Medicago truncatula: one gene and its partner. The protein of the gene in region 1 interacts with the protein of each later gene in a pairwise test. Links are inferred from orthologs where the notes say so. Each region holds a gene or a part of one and is shown on either strand. Other genes may lie near its edges.

Region 1 (7,936 bases):
GAATGCTTCCGTTTGGTGGAAGATTTAGTGAAGCTAGAAGACTTTGGTGGAGCACAAGGTTGGTTCAATTCGGAGGTTTTCCGGAAAGTAGGTAATGATTTCAAAACTAGTTTTTGGAAGGATATTTGGCGTGGAGGAGGGAGTTTTGCTCAAAAATATCCTAGACTTTTTTCAATTTCAACCCAAAAGGAGGCTACGGTGGGAGAAATAGGGGCGGCTTCGGGGGTAGGAACGGATTGGAATTTTAATTGGAGAAGACAACTCTTTGTGTGGGAGGAGGAGTTGTTTACTAGCCTTCGGGAAGATTTAGAGGGTATGGTTTGGTCTAATGAGGAGGATGAGTGGAGATGGAAATTAGAAGATAATGGTTTTTTCTCGGTGAAGTCGGCATATTTGAAGTTGGAGGGAGTGGTGTTGAAGGAAGATTTGTGGGATGAAGAGGAAAGAGGGGTGTTTGATCAATTATGGAAGAGTCCAGCGCCGTCGAAAGTGATTGCATTTACTTGGAAGGTACTCCTTAATCGTATCCCAACTAGAGTTAATCTTGCCTTGAGGAATGTTCTACCACCGGATGCCTCAAACTTGTGTGTGTTGTGTAATTTGAAGGAAGAATCGGCCATACATCTTCTCTTGCACTGCGAAGTGGCGTCTAAGGTGTGGCTAAATATTATGTTGTGGTTGGAGGTCTTGTTCTTAATTCCATCTAATTTCTTTGTGCATTGGGAGTGTTGGAGTGTGGGGAAAGAAATAAAAAAGTAACTAAAGGACTATGGTTAATTTGGCACACAACCATGTGGACTTTGTGGAAAGCGAGAAATGACAAAATCTTTAAGGGTATTAGTAGAGTGGTGGATGACATAGTTGAGGAGATTAAGGTTTTGTCTTGGAGATGGATGTTGAATAGGACGAATAACCCGCCATGCCTTTTCTATGAATGGTGTTGGAATCCAAGATATTGTCTTGCTAGATGATAGTTTGGTCCTTGGGTGCGGTGTATTTCGTGAGGTAGAAGCTTTTGGTTTGGGATTCCTATGCAGGTTGGTTTGTGCAGCTTTTGAGGACTTTGGGTGTGTTTCGGTTTTGGATAGTTTTTGCTGTTACTTGTTGGATTTGTCTTCCACGAGTACTGTGAGGCTTGTGTGCAGTTTTGGCTAGTTGGTTTGTGCGGCTGCCACTTTCAATTTTCTGTTTTCATGTTACTTCGGCATCTTGCTGCTGAAGTATATTGATTGGTGAGGCAGGGGTATGCTTGGGTGTCAGTGCTCTTTGGCTTGTCTGCTTGTATAGCTTTGGTGCGGTGCTAGGAGGTCTGTGCGCTACCTGGTTTTGTGGCAGCAGTGCTGTTGTATGTTTTAACAGCTGGGGCGAGACGTATCAGTTGGCTGGTGGTTGTTTGCTTGCCAGGTTTTGGCTGTTATTAGTAGTTTCGGCGGCCTTTGGTGTTGATGCAGGGGTATGCTTGTGGTCTGTCACTTGTATATGCCTGCGTCATTACTCTTGTGGTGTGTTCCTTAGTTTATGGGTGGTTTTTAAAGGGATTTTTGTTCGAGCCGGAGTTTGTATGGCAACTGATTTCCCCTTCTTTGTATTTTTTCTCCACCCGAGCTTATTAGTGCGTCTTGCACGGGCTTGTTGGTTAATAATATTTTGCCGATTCAAAAAAAAAAAACTCTGCAAACACCTCCTTCATTGTTGTTATTTGTTGGAAGTATAAATTCAATGCAGCTTTTTGTTCTTACTTAACTTACCTTAAAAGTTTTAGGGAACATGCAATAGTCTGTCTATGCACATTTGACAACTTTGCCCATGAATATCTCATGGTTCATTGACAGTACACTCAAACTTTTATCAGCAACCTGTGATGTTGCAATGAAGTCAGCGACAATATATAAATTTTCAGAATGAATGGCACCAGTTATTCCAATAAACTCAAATGAGATTTATAAATTGCATTTTCCCCCTTTATCACATTTAGCAGGCACAAACGAGGTAAAACACTTCAAACATTTTGGCTAGATCCAAACTCAAAACATTATTGATGATATGATGCTATTGTATAAATTAAGCATTGTGTCTTAAGAATGGTTTTTGGGATAAAGAAGGGTTATGAGATTCCTATCTAAGCAGAATTGTCTTTGTATGTACAAGGTGGTTACAAGTTGATGAAAAAAGTTTTTTTAAGTGCAATTAATTTGATAGATTTCGCGTAAAACACAGGTTTACCATAGTTTTTTTAATTGAATTTTTTAATAAATTTCATCAAATAGTGAAATTACTGTTGTATATTAGTGACGTTTTATAGATTTCATGAAATTTTAAAAAATCATTTTTACTAAATTTTGTATCTTTTTTTCTTTCTTTCTTCTAAGCAAAGATGTAGGGACGACATCAAGAGGCAACATAAACGTCCAAACTAGGTTGGTACCCAACTAAAACCTCTATTATCTACCACATACTCTATAAATATTATTAAAAAAAAAAGAGAAAATAATATGTACAAGAGGGGGGGCTAGGCCAAGATCCTCAGAAAGAATAAGCGTGCAACCATGAAACTAAGGAAACCGATAGTTCAACAACTTATACGATCACGGAAAAAATCAGCCAACAAAGACGAAGGCATGGAGTCTAACCAAACAGTACCCACAACCGCATGTCCATACTCAACTAATTTATCTGCACAACAGTTTCCCTCACGATAAATTTGAGAGCATATAGCCTGGAGACCCAAATGAAAACAGTTATGCCAATGGTTCCGAAGACGGAAAGGAACAATATCAGCATTCTTAAAGGCCTGAACCGCAGAAGTCGAATCACTTTCTATCCAAATATTGTGCCAAGAATGAGAAGCCACATATTCCAAAGCAAGAATAATACCTATCAGCTTCGCCTAAAAAGCAGACAAATCACCAAGATTGCTTGCAAAATCACCAAGATTTCTATCCAAATATTGTGATATGATATATGATGATGTTTATACAATGATGATATGACAATGTTGTTGATTTTATTTGTCGAGTCATGATGTGATGTTCATGCATTCATGGTCTGTCCTATTTGACGACGAATATTTGACGATGAGTGGATTAATCAGTAATATGCTTATGATTATCCAAATATTTGACGATGAGGTATCACTCAAATACATACCTCTGATATTCAAAAACGGTACCACATGCATATAGAGTCAAGTTAGGGACATTACATGTGAGTCTATGCGAAAGATGTGTACTTGACTATGTGTGACTATTTGAAAAATGTGTGATTCGACAATGGCAATGATGTGTGAATGCAATGTGTTCAACTTGACGATTATTTGATGATGTGATTACATGTTTATAATCTTGTGATGATGATTGAAGTTTGTTATACCGACTTAGTGAATTGTATGAGAACTAATATAATATGAATATACATGTTTATAATCTTGTGATGATGATTGACATTTGCTGCGGGTTGGACGTATAGTTGCTGTGAGTTTTCGAGGATGGCTTTGAAGCATTCTTTTACCGCTTCCTTTTGGAGTCTTGACTAGTGGTGCTCTTATTAGGACTGTTGGGATTTTATTTATGTTATTAGATTATGTTTTGAGGATGTATTTTTCGATGTGACGTGTTATTTACATGATGAACTATGTATGGATTGTAACGAAGAGTAACACCTTGAAGGACAGAATCAGTATAAATTGATTTGTGTCTTTCTTCTCTCTCTGACTCTTTATCTTTAATCTGCATGTTATTTATTTCCGCTGCATTCAGACTCTGAGTCAGAATATGAAACATCAGATTTTGTCCAGATTTGTTCTTAACACCTTACAAGAAGAAACGACTCACACAATTCAACCCACCTTCTTGTGTGTTTTTCTCACCTTCATGATGTAGATGACAATATTGGAAGAAAAAAAAAAGGATAAAAAAATGGAACAATTTTAAACCATCACATGATAAATTTTGGACCATTTTACCCATTGAAATTTTTTTGGTTAAACTGTAAAAAAAATAAAAATTAGGAGGGGACAGTTATATAAATGAAGAAGTTGTTAGATTGGCTCCGTCTACGATGGGAGACTTGAATAGGTCTTCTAATATAGGAGACATGGTTTTTTTCTTCCTTTAAAATGAATATGAACCATATGATAAGGGTTGGATCAAATTCCTTAATATACATTTCCATCACTCAACTGCTTTCTTTTATTTTAAATTAGTGTATTTATCTGACGTTGTTCGGTTTATACTTATAATTAAGGACGACCAAAATTTTGTATGCAACGTATCTGCATATAAATTTACCACGAGCTGGTATAAGACCAATATCTTAATGAGTAAGCACGAATAAAAAAAAAAATTCATATTTTAAGTACTCGTAAATTTATAGATGCACATGCAGATGATATTTATAGAATTTAGTAAAAACAAAAATTGACACATTGGATTTAGTAAAATTATTAACACATGTAAAATAAAATAAATATTTTTTAAGTTCATGGACTCGTATAAATTTATACTCGTTATTAAATTAGTAAAATTATACGACTGCCGTATTACTTAAATAAAAAACTTCTCGTCATGAAATAAAAATATGTAATTTTGTAACAAAACTTATTTTTCTATCTAGCATAAACATCTCAACAATCCACATCGGCTTCGTCCAAATATTTTATATGTTTGTTTTTATTTCATGAGAAGATTTTTATTTTATATAAAATATAAAAATATTTATTTTATTCAATATGTGTTACAAATATTTTAAAGGAATATGTGTAACCAAAAAAAGAGGAATTGTTGTGACAACCACTTTTCACCTCATTTTATTGGATAAAAACAATAGAAAGAAAGAAGAAGAGAAATAATAAAAATATATGTAAATATAAGAAAGATGTTGTTTCAAAAGTTGTCAAAAAAATAGATGTACAAATATTGTTTCTCAATATTTTATCACCAAGTTGAATTCTCTCGGCTCTTTTTCCATCAGAAACGAGCACTGAACTCAAATAGCCGGAGTTGCTTGTAGCCGCCGGCGATCACATCTCTCACGGCCAAGTCCACCGCTCTATATTCATCTCTCACTCACTCAACCTTCATTTTCGTTTTATTCTTCCAATCAAGTAAGTTCATCGATTTTGATTTTGGGTGATTTTTTTCTTTCTCAAATGCAACTTTTGTTGTTGAGTTAATGTGGATTTTTATGCGTTATTTATGCATTGAAAAGATTAGATTTCATCTATTGGCTTAGGATGAATGAATTTTTGCATGCATTTCACTTGTTGCCTTTTAGGTGTTTGATAAATTGTCCTAAGTGGTGTTATGTGAATCTTTGATAGAGTAGACTGAATTTTTTGTAATCTTGTGTGGCTGTGAAGATAAATACACTAGAATAAAAGAAAGTAATTGAGTGTTGAAGATATATAATAAGTATTTTGATCCAACCCTTATCTAAGCAAAGTGAATTCGGTAATGCTGCGGAATAACACATCGGCTGAGTTCATTTTCGCATTGTTACAAGAACTGTCTCATGCTCAAGCTGAGCTATTTGCTTCGGTATTGTGGAGTTTGTGGAAAAGCCGTAACCTACAACTATGGCAGAATGAAGTAGAGACATTGCAGGCCATTGTTGCACGCGCACAGAAGCTGTTGGTCAACTGGCGTGTAGCAAACAGCAAGCGACAGCAAGGTGGAATGACTGGCAGGTCTGCTGATCCGATTACAGATGTGCAGCAGTCAAAATTTGTGTCCAGCAGTGTGCAGATTGGGCAGAATCGATGGCAGAAACCAATCATGGCAGGCTAAAGTGCAACATTGATGCGTCGTTTTCGGAAGCTTTAAATTGTGTAGGATTTGGATTCTGCATCAGGAATGAATTTGGAGAATTTATTCGAGCAAGAACAATGTGGTCGAATCCTGTTTGTCCGTCGGATGTTGGAGAAGCTTTGGGACTTTCATACGCCATCCGTTGGGTGCATGAACTGCAACTCAATAATGTTGATTTTGAATTGGATGCCAAGACGGTTGTAGATTATTTTAATTGAGGTTGCAATGATATATCCGAGTTTGGAGCAATAATTGACGAGTATCGGAGAAATCGTGATATGTATCTAGAAAACTCCATGGTAGAGTTTAGTCGGAGACAAGCGAATGAGGTCGCTCACACTCTTGCACGAGAGGCCACTTTCTTAGCTAGTCCCCATACTTTTAATGATGTACCTCATTGTATTACGACGTTGATTTTTAATCAAAAGCTATAAGCTATTTTCCTTCAAAAAAAAAAAAGTATTTTGATCCAACCCTTATCCAATGGTTCATATTCATTTAAAAAAAATGTCTCCTACAGCCCTACCGTAAACGGAGCCCATTAGATTTCATATAGCCACACCTGATGATTATTGCCCGATTTTTTAAAAATAAAAGAAAAAAATCAAACGACACTGCATACTCTCTTCTTCTCACTCTCTCTTACAACCAGTGTGTCACCACTAGTCACAGCTAATTCTCTCTCAGTTGTCATTATTCACTCTAAGGTAAGCCAATTGATTTTCCAATTTCTTGTTTTAGTGTTTCAAAATTGGGAATTGGAAATGAAATTTTGTTATGACCAAGTTGTTTGTTAGTTAGAATTGGAATTTCGGAATGTTAAAAAATTGATGCTTTTGTTTCATGTAATTGGATTGGATATCAGCTGTTTGTTCAAATGTCTGAATGCATTTTCCTTTTTGCTTCATATCGGTTTTTATGTTATTATTTTGACACACAGAAGAAGGCAGATCATGGGAACATCAGTGCAAGTAACACCACTTTGTGGAGTTTACAATGAAAACCCTCTCTCTTATTTGGTTTCCATTGATTCTTTCAACATCCTCATCGACTGTGGTTGGAATGACCACTTCGACCCTTCACTCCTTCAACCCCTTTCCAGGGTAGCATCAACTATAGATGCTGTTTTACTTTCACATCCTGATACACTTCACCTTGCCGCCTTACCATATGCCATTAAGCATCTTGGACTTTCTGCTCCTGTTTATTCAACTGAGCCTGTTTATAGATTGGGACTTCTCACTATGTATGACCACTTCCTCTCCAGAAAGCAAGTGTCCGACTTTGATCTCTTCACTCTAGATGATATTGATTCTGCTTTCCAAACTGTAACAAGGCTAACATACTCTCAGAATCATCATCTCTCAGGTAACAATAACATAACACCTTCCTCAATTTATTATGTGTTTGTTACCATCAATGACATTCATTTTAACCAATACTAGGAAAGGGAGAGGGAATCGTCATTGCACCACATACTGCTGGACATCTTTTGGGAGGTACGATATGGAAAATTACAAAGGATGGTGAGGATGTCATATATGCTGTTGATTTCAATCATAGGAAAGAAAGGTAAATTATTTTTTTACTTCTCCAAAATTTAACGTGCATATTCTTAACGACAAGAAAGTAAGCTACTTATCAATCTAATTTTCACTAGGCATTTGAACGGAACTGTTCTAGGTTCTTTTGTTCGCCCGGCTGTTCTAATAACCGATGCTTATAATGCTTTGAATAATCAGCCTTACAGACGTCAAAAGGACAAAGAATTTGGAGGTAACTAACATTTAAATCTTATAATTGCTACACCTTGACAGAAATAAGGTGAATTTTTCATTTTTTGTTTTCTTGAGTTGCTATTAAGAGAAAACTGAAATATTTTTATGCCTGGGATATTCAAAGACAAGGCATGCAAGCATTAAAAAGTCTTCATCACGAAACGAGAAAACTGTCTAGACTATATACTTTGTTTTTTCTGATCATATATCTTGTTGATTATTTAGATATCTTAAAGAAGACTCTAAGGGCAGGTGGCAATGTGTTACTACCTGTTGACACTGCTGGACGAATATTGGAACTTATTCTGATGCTGGAATCGGTCAGTACAAGAAAAGACTTACACTTATATTCTC
Region 2 (7,636 bases), on another chromosome or scaffold:
GTGATTTACGCATTATTTGACTAATTACCTTGAATACTTCTGATTGCACCGCACCTCCTAGCTAGAGTGGAGCAGGAAAATGATACAAAATTTCATCAATGAGAGTTGTTACTATATTGTCTTGGCAGCTTATACCAATTTGATTTAAACATCAATGAATGTTGACATAGACTATGAATATTTTGAGGCTAACACTTAAAATCTCAAATATTTTCATTACAGGTGAAAAGAAAAGAAATTATACAAAATGAATTATTGGTATGCTTCACACGGCAAAGCTAATACATTTGTATTGCTAATTCATATCTGCAATTCAAACCAATTTTTTCCAAACTCATTGTATTCTTATTTGTTTGAGGTTGATAATTGTGGTATGCCATAACTTGGTTATGGTAAGCATGTAATCTATTGTGCTGTTTTGCACACTCTTGTACTATTTCTCTTGACAATTCACCGAATGTTTTTATTTTTCTAGGTAATCCATGATAGGGGTAGTGACATTATTATCAGGGCAGTGAATGCGGCTGCGGCAGCTCGTGAATACCGTCTTCAAAGATGGAGTGCATATTTGGACAAGTGCAATATGGCTTGTATTCCCTAACCAAATATAATAGGTCAAGTTCATACTTGAGAGTTCATTTGTTTCATTTTTGTGTTGTGACTCTGAGAGATGTTTCATTTTTCAGTCTTTCATAAGTAGCATCCTAACATGGATATGCAGTACTGGAATTTTGTTTAATTTATATAATATTTCAAATTTTGTTAGAATTATTCATTCATCGCTTTCATTTTAATCTAATAGGTTATTGGTCCACGTGGGATCAACTACCATTTAGGAGTAATATCTACCGATGAGTTTGGGTCTGTTCTTGAAATATGTTACAATTATTCATGACTATATGCAAAAAAATGCAGCAACATACACCTGACAAAGCCATATCATATCGAACGCAAGTTTGGAGATGAATAATCTGAACTTCACATCCAAGCATTATGTGTGCAGCAATATAAAACACTAAATCATGGTAACCAAATGCTGACAACAACAAAATATTATGAATTGACAAACAAACAAGCAAAATTACATTTTCAATTTTGAATTATTACCATTATAATTTTAAAATATAAAGTTTGTGAATTCATAAAGTATGTTTGGAAATTCATAGTCATAGTGTCATTGTGAGATGGATTTGGATCAAAGCTTGGAGAATTATTGCGTTGCGTTAAAATTGCTAAGAGACTTAAGAATTTTCGATGGGATGCAAAACTAATACGCCTCAATTTAAGTATGGATCACGTTCTCGAGTATAGAGATAGAAGTTAGACTTAAAGGAAAATATTATTATTATTCTTTTTGAAATTTCAAACTGGCACACCAAATTTGGCACGGGGAGAATCTGAAACCTTGAAAGGAGCACATTCTAAGGTCGCAAGTCAGCACCATCAGACCAACCCAAGTGGATCTAAAAGAAAGGAAATTGATTATATTTTTCATTGATTTTAATCATGAAGCATTACAATGCTTATATAAGTTAGTGCGTACTCATAACAGATAACTATAAAAACTGCAGAATAGCAATGCTAAGTAGCTAACAATACAAATATGCCTAGAAGATCCTATCAATAAGATAAACTATAGCTAAGTCATCATTCTCTTACCCTCAAGATCCTGTCAAAAGGCTATGTAAAGAAGAGGCATTCCTAGCTGAAAAGCTTCTAAATGTAGACAAAAAAAAAAAAGACCAAATCAGCTAAAAAATTGAAAACTTGTGTAGAATCAGTAAGTCTGCTAAAATCCATATACTATGTTGTGAAATTAATTGCAATAAATAAGTTATTGCTTAAAAAAAAAATTAAAATATTATCTAGATGTTTCATTGTATATATCATCAATATTAAATTATCTTTGTTTTTTTTTGGTAGTGTTGCATTATCTTATTTAAGAGAGTAAAGATAGTTACATGGTTAATTACATTGCCTAATCTTGCAATGTTGGGGAAACAAGGTTGGAAGTTATGACTAACCCGAGTTATGTTTGATGTAGCATTTGGTCTTCCTAAACGTTGTTAGAGGAAGGCTACCAGTGGTAGATTGGGGATGGTAGGAGTCTGGTGAAATTCTTGGCTGCGGTGTGTTGAGGAGCCTTTTATAAAGACAGCTGAACCAAGTGAAGCTCAAGGTATTGCTGTGAGCCATATCATTGAGAACAATGATGGAGCGTGGAATGGACACTATCATTGCGGGTCCATTTTAATATAATCAAATTTTGAATAGATATTTTTCGTTATTTTTTATTCACAATTTCATTAACATATAGTTTTAAACCCTATTATAAAATATGAAACAACTCAAAATAAAATTAAAATATGTGGAAAATTACTAAAGCAATACTAAGAGATGTGTGGATAGCATTGTGTACCATTAAGATATCGATGTTGTATAAAATTGGCCAATTAGGTTCCAAAATAATACTTTTAGATAATTTGGAGCAAAGGAAAAATAAAAATTTGGAAAAATATTTATTAGAAAATAAAGTATCTCAGAGATTGAATTTTTCGAAGTTAATTTTTTACACCACATGACCTAAGGTCCTGAATACGCCACTGACCATATTTATGGTATAAATAGACTCCACCTAATATTCATATCACTCGTTCAAAACTTTAAAATTGACTCCACTTATCTCACAATATACTCCAAAACTATATTTTATATCATTATTTTACATTAAAAAGCTTTTGAAAAAAATTTAAAAGGATGAAGGCCCCCATTGCCAAGGTTGGAAACCTGGTAAATTAAAGCCACCACACTTTATGTTAAATATTTATGATTCTCTGACAATAAGGCAAAAGTTTGCAAAGATGCTCTAATGATCCTCTCCATTTATAAAAAAAATAAATACAGCATGTTATTTAGAAAAAGATACACATAAAAAAAAGATCGTGGATCTTTACCAAGCATAACTAGGCACATGCAAATACTTGGGGCTACCATCTATGATCAGAAGAAGCAAACAACATTTGGCTACATCAAGGATCAAATTTGGCAAAGAATAAATTCATGGAGTAATAAATTCTCATCGAAGGCGGGTCAAGAGGTAATGATAAAGTATGTTTTACAAGTCATATGTAATGAGTATTTTTCTTCTTTCGAAAACATTGATAGACGTTGTTTAAAAAAAATGATGAATGCATTCTGGTGGGGACATGTTGGAGCAACTAACAGGGGAATTCATTGGATGTCATGGGAGAAATTGTGAGTTCACAATTTCTTTAGTGGTACATGGTTCAAGGACCTCACCTTTTTCAATGTTGCGATGCTCAATAAACAAGTGTGGAAACTTCAGTCTAATGTGCATAGCCTAGCTTGGGTCACATATCTGTTAAGGATCATTATTTTCCAACTTTTGATTTCTTTGGGGCTAAAATAGGTACCAGACCGAGTTATGTTTCGCATAGCATACTTAGTGTAAAAGATGTGGTGTAAAGAGACGCAAGGTGCACTATTGGCACATGTAATAATATCCCTTTGATGGACCAACCTTGGTTAGCCTCCGGTGATAGTAATTAGGCCATACACACATGTAATGCACAATTTCTTTCTATTATGTGTTAGTGAACTAATAGATCAGATATCAAAATTGTGGAAAAAAACCTCTTGTTAATTATTTGTTTGATCTTCACACCGCCACTCAGATCTTAAATACACCTCTTTTCCCGCAAGTTACTAATGATAGTTTGGTATGACAATGTAAGAAAAACGATTGCTATTATGTTCGTAGTGCTTACAGAATCTGTTCATAAGTTATTCAAACATGAGAAGATCCGAATAATTCCATATGGAAACTCAAGGTACCGCCAAAAGTGAAAAACCTTGTGTGGAGAGTATGTCGTGATTGCTTTCCTACTCGTGTACGACTCAACAATAGAGATGTTGCATGTTCTTCAGAATGTGTTATGTGCATTGATACTGACGAGGATTATTTACATGCTATTTTTACTTGTTCTCAAGCGTCGCAAGTTTGGCAAGCTGCGAACCTAAGGAATATTGCAGATAATGTCGTAAATGAGTTTGATAATAAGACGTCAATTGTATTGTATTTACTAGATCAACTTCAACCGTCATAGTGTTCTTTATTTACATAAGTCTCTTATAGTATTTGGAAGCGGCGTAACTTGCCACCAAGACCGAGTACTATTAACAGGGTTCAATGTCAGAGTCCCACGTAGACAAGAATATAATGTTGATGGTTCCTTCTTTACATCCCATAGTAAGGTTGGTATCATTATGCGTATTCGAGATGTATACAGGGGTTATATGCTTTCTAAAACAACATTGTTTACACCGTGGACCAATTAAACGTTAGCTCCAAATTATTATGGTCTTGTAGTGACATCTTTTTTTGGTGGTGGTCAGAGTTCGAACCCCGAACCTTGCATATTTTATGCATTGTCTATACCAACTGAGTTAAACTCACGTGGACGTCTTGTAGTGACATCTAATGAGATGCAATGTTTTCTTAAAAAAAAAAAAAAAAAAAGAGATGAGATGAATTTTTCCATGTAAAAAAAAAATTGTTGAAAAAAAACTACAACGCACGCACAATCCATTTGTAGTTAAATTAAAACGGCGTCGTCTGCGGTTAGTTTTTTCTTTCTCTCTCATCATCACTCTTTCCTTCCCGCTCCAGATTCATCGTTCTACCTCAATCCCAACCACAATTTTGGGGTTTAGGGTTTTTCTCCCCACACTGCTCTTCAATCCCAAATCCTCATTCTTCCAACACCATAGTTAGTTACAATGATGTACAATGACCCTCATAACCCTCAACACCAACAACACCAACAGCACCAGCAGCAACAGCAACAACAACAACAACAGTATCAGCAACACCAGCAGCAGCAGCAGCCTCCGCATTTTCACCATCAGCAGCAGCAGCAGCAGTCAGGTCCCGGTCCGGATTTCCACCGTGGACCTCCGCCGCCGATGCCTCAACAACCTCCGCCTATGATGCGCCAACCTTCCGCTTCTTCGACGAATCTCGGATCGGAGTTTCTTCCTGGTGGTCCCCCTGGTCCCCCTGGTCCTCCTCCTCATTACGATGGTTTGATTTTTCTTCTTTTTGTTGTTTTTATCGAATGAAATTGAATTGAATTGAATTAGAACACATATGCTTGTTAGGGCTGTTTGGATTGACTTATTTGATTTTATCTACTGGCATAAGTTTTTGTGTGATTGTTTGGGTGAATTTATGAAAACAATTTATGACATTGTTCGTAAGCCGTTTTTAGCTTATTTTTATAACTTATGGAGATAGCTTATATGAAAACAATTTAATTTAATTTTATCTTTTGCTATAGAAATAGGTTATACATAAGCGCTTATCAATTATCATGATATCGTCCTGTGCTATAAGCTGTTTATACAAAAAGGGCCTATTTTGTATGATAGTTTGTTGTGATTGCTTATACAGTGCTTTGGTGTGTATATGTGTGTGTGATTTCTAATTATTTGTTTATTATTTTAAAAGAATTGTTTGATTGGTTAAGTAATGCACAAGTTTTCACATCCAAGAGTTGTATCTCTATCTTATTTTTATTTTGTTAGGATTGTAATTTCCTAGTTGATGAGTGGAGTGAAGTAGTGAATTTATTATGAACTTGATTTTTGGACAGAAAGTTTGCGATTAAATGGTTTGGTGGTAAGATGGGCGGAGTAGATGAAATGTGATGCGAGTTTAGTAGCATTTGAGTCAGCAATATTTTAGAGGTTAGGTGAGGTTTGCTTTGGGTAATTGTGTTGGTGTTCCCGCAAGTTGGAGATTTACGTATGATGGATTTAAGTTCTAAAATGATGGGGGTGATTAAAGGGGTATGTTATTATGCTTACGAATTATGATTCAATTTGGGTGATTGAACTAGAAAAATGCTTTAGGTGTAATTTGTGATAACGGGTTGATTATCAATAGAAAGGAAATTGTACTTGACAGGATGTATGTCTGGTGATGCTATATGGTGGGAGTGAAGGGAACTGTTTGTCAGTTGATTGGTGACAACTGACAAGAGCAAAATACAAGTATCACTGTGATGAGAATGCAATTGTTGAGGTGGATATTGTAGGGAAAGATAACATAAGGAACGGACGGGTATTAGGGAAAAAATCGGAGTAGCACATGCCAAGAAAAAATAGTATTAACAATGCCTTAGATGGTTTAGTCATGAGAAGATGACCACTAAGAGTGAGAGGTTTTAACTTTTAAAGCTCATTGGGATCTGCTGAATATGCAGTTTGTTGAATGTTTGCCATAATTTAGTGTACGTGTTTTGGTATGAGTCAATTCTTTGAAACCTTATTTTCTTTGGATGAAATAGTAATATGTTTTTGTATAACCCTTTGCATACATACGGTTATGAGGATTTTTTTCCGTAGGCATTGAGTTGACATGACAGGCTAATTTGTTGAACTTTTGCTTTTGAAACATATTTGTTTCCGCTCTTTGGGACGATAATCCATAATTTGATTTTGCTACTCTTTCCCCTTCAACAGTTATTATTTTATTTATTCAGAACGAAATTATCTTCTACCGCATATATGAGATAGGTCTTGATATGTTAGAAAAATGTCTATGCCCTCACATGTAGTTCAAGGCATTAATATTTATATATCTTCTCCATTGTCTATAAGCTTAGCTAAATTTGTTGAACTTTTATGATTTGGGATATTTTGACTATTGTAATTAAATAGTGAACGGTTTTACTTACAGTTCATAATGATAGCCATGGTGCAAAAAGAATGAGAAAGCTCACTCAAAGGAAGGCAGTTGATTATACGAGCACAGTTGTGCGCTATATGCAGGTAATGATTGCTGCTTTAATAATAGAATCACAGTTAAGTTGGAAATCTGTTTGGTTTGTTCATCTCTATCTGTGTGTAATCCACCTTGGAAATTCATGGGTAATTTGAAATCTTCCTTCAGATTCGTATGTCACAGCGTGATTCCAGAGATAGGACAGTACTTCAACCTACGCCGGCAGCAGCAATTGATGTGAGCGAGCTTCTCTTTTATGTTAATAAGTGTCACGAAACAACTATCAAAAACCTTAAGTTTCAATTGAGTTCACACGAACGATCTTTATATTATATATCTTTCTTAAACCCTCTCATGCAAATTGGGCTTGAGGGGTGGATAAAGCAATGACCCACCACCAACCTTTCACTGAATTGAACTTTTTAAAAGAATGGGTGTCGCAATGGTTGAACAGCAGACAGTTAGTCAATGAGCCTCATGTTAAGAACTAACTGTCCCAAGCGTTCATGCATTTTGATAACTGACACATGAATGAATTTATATTATATCTTTAAGATTAAATTTGAAAATGCTATTTACCTTAATTCCAGAAATGCAGCTTGGTAATTTTTTTGATAAACTATTGTTATAATAATCAACCTATTTCTCTATACTTTAACCTTATGCTATTTTTCATGCAGATGTTGCCAGCAGCTGGCTATTCAGACAATCCATCCACAAGCTTTGCTGCTAAATTTGTTCATACATCTCTAAATAAAAATCGTTGTGCTATTAATTGTGTTCTTGTAAGTTATATAATTTAAATCTTGTGAACATGTGGTTGACATA

Evidence for each region.
Region 2: the proteins of cleavage and polyadenylation specificity factor subunit 2 (region 1) and flowering time control protein FY interact in binary tests that used the Arabidopsis thaliana proteins (3 or more experiments, as listed by UniProt). The link is inferred for Medicago truncatula from reciprocal best matches to the Arabidopsis thaliana genes CPSF100 and FY.

The regions. Positions count from the first base shown.
Region 1 is NC_053042.1:20,055,635-20,063,570, forward strand, and holds the start of cleavage and polyadenylation specificity factor subunit 2, read left to right. Parts: upstream 1-4,921; 5' UTR 4,922-5,101; intron 5,102-6,744; 5' UTR 6,745-6,757; coding exon 6,758-7,172; intron 7,173-7,249; coding exon 7,250-7,376; intron 7,377-7,464; coding exon 7,465-7,580; intron 7,581-7,807; coding exon 7,808-7,902; intron 7,903-7,936. UniProt on the Arabidopsis thaliana protein: CPSF plays a key role in pre-mRNA 3'-end formation, recognizing the AAUAAA signal sequence and interacting with poly(A)polymerase and other factors to bring about cleavage and poly(A) addition. Required for antisense-RNA-mediated gene silencing.
Region 2 is NC_053049.1:14,642,369-14,650,004, forward strand, and holds the start of flowering time control protein FY, read left to right. Parts: upstream 1-4,634; 5' UTR 4,635-4,800; coding exon 4,801-5,104; intron 5,105-6,763; coding exon 6,764-6,855; intron 6,856-6,976; coding exon 6,977-7,045; intron 7,046-7,488; coding exon 7,489-7,593; intron 7,594-7,636.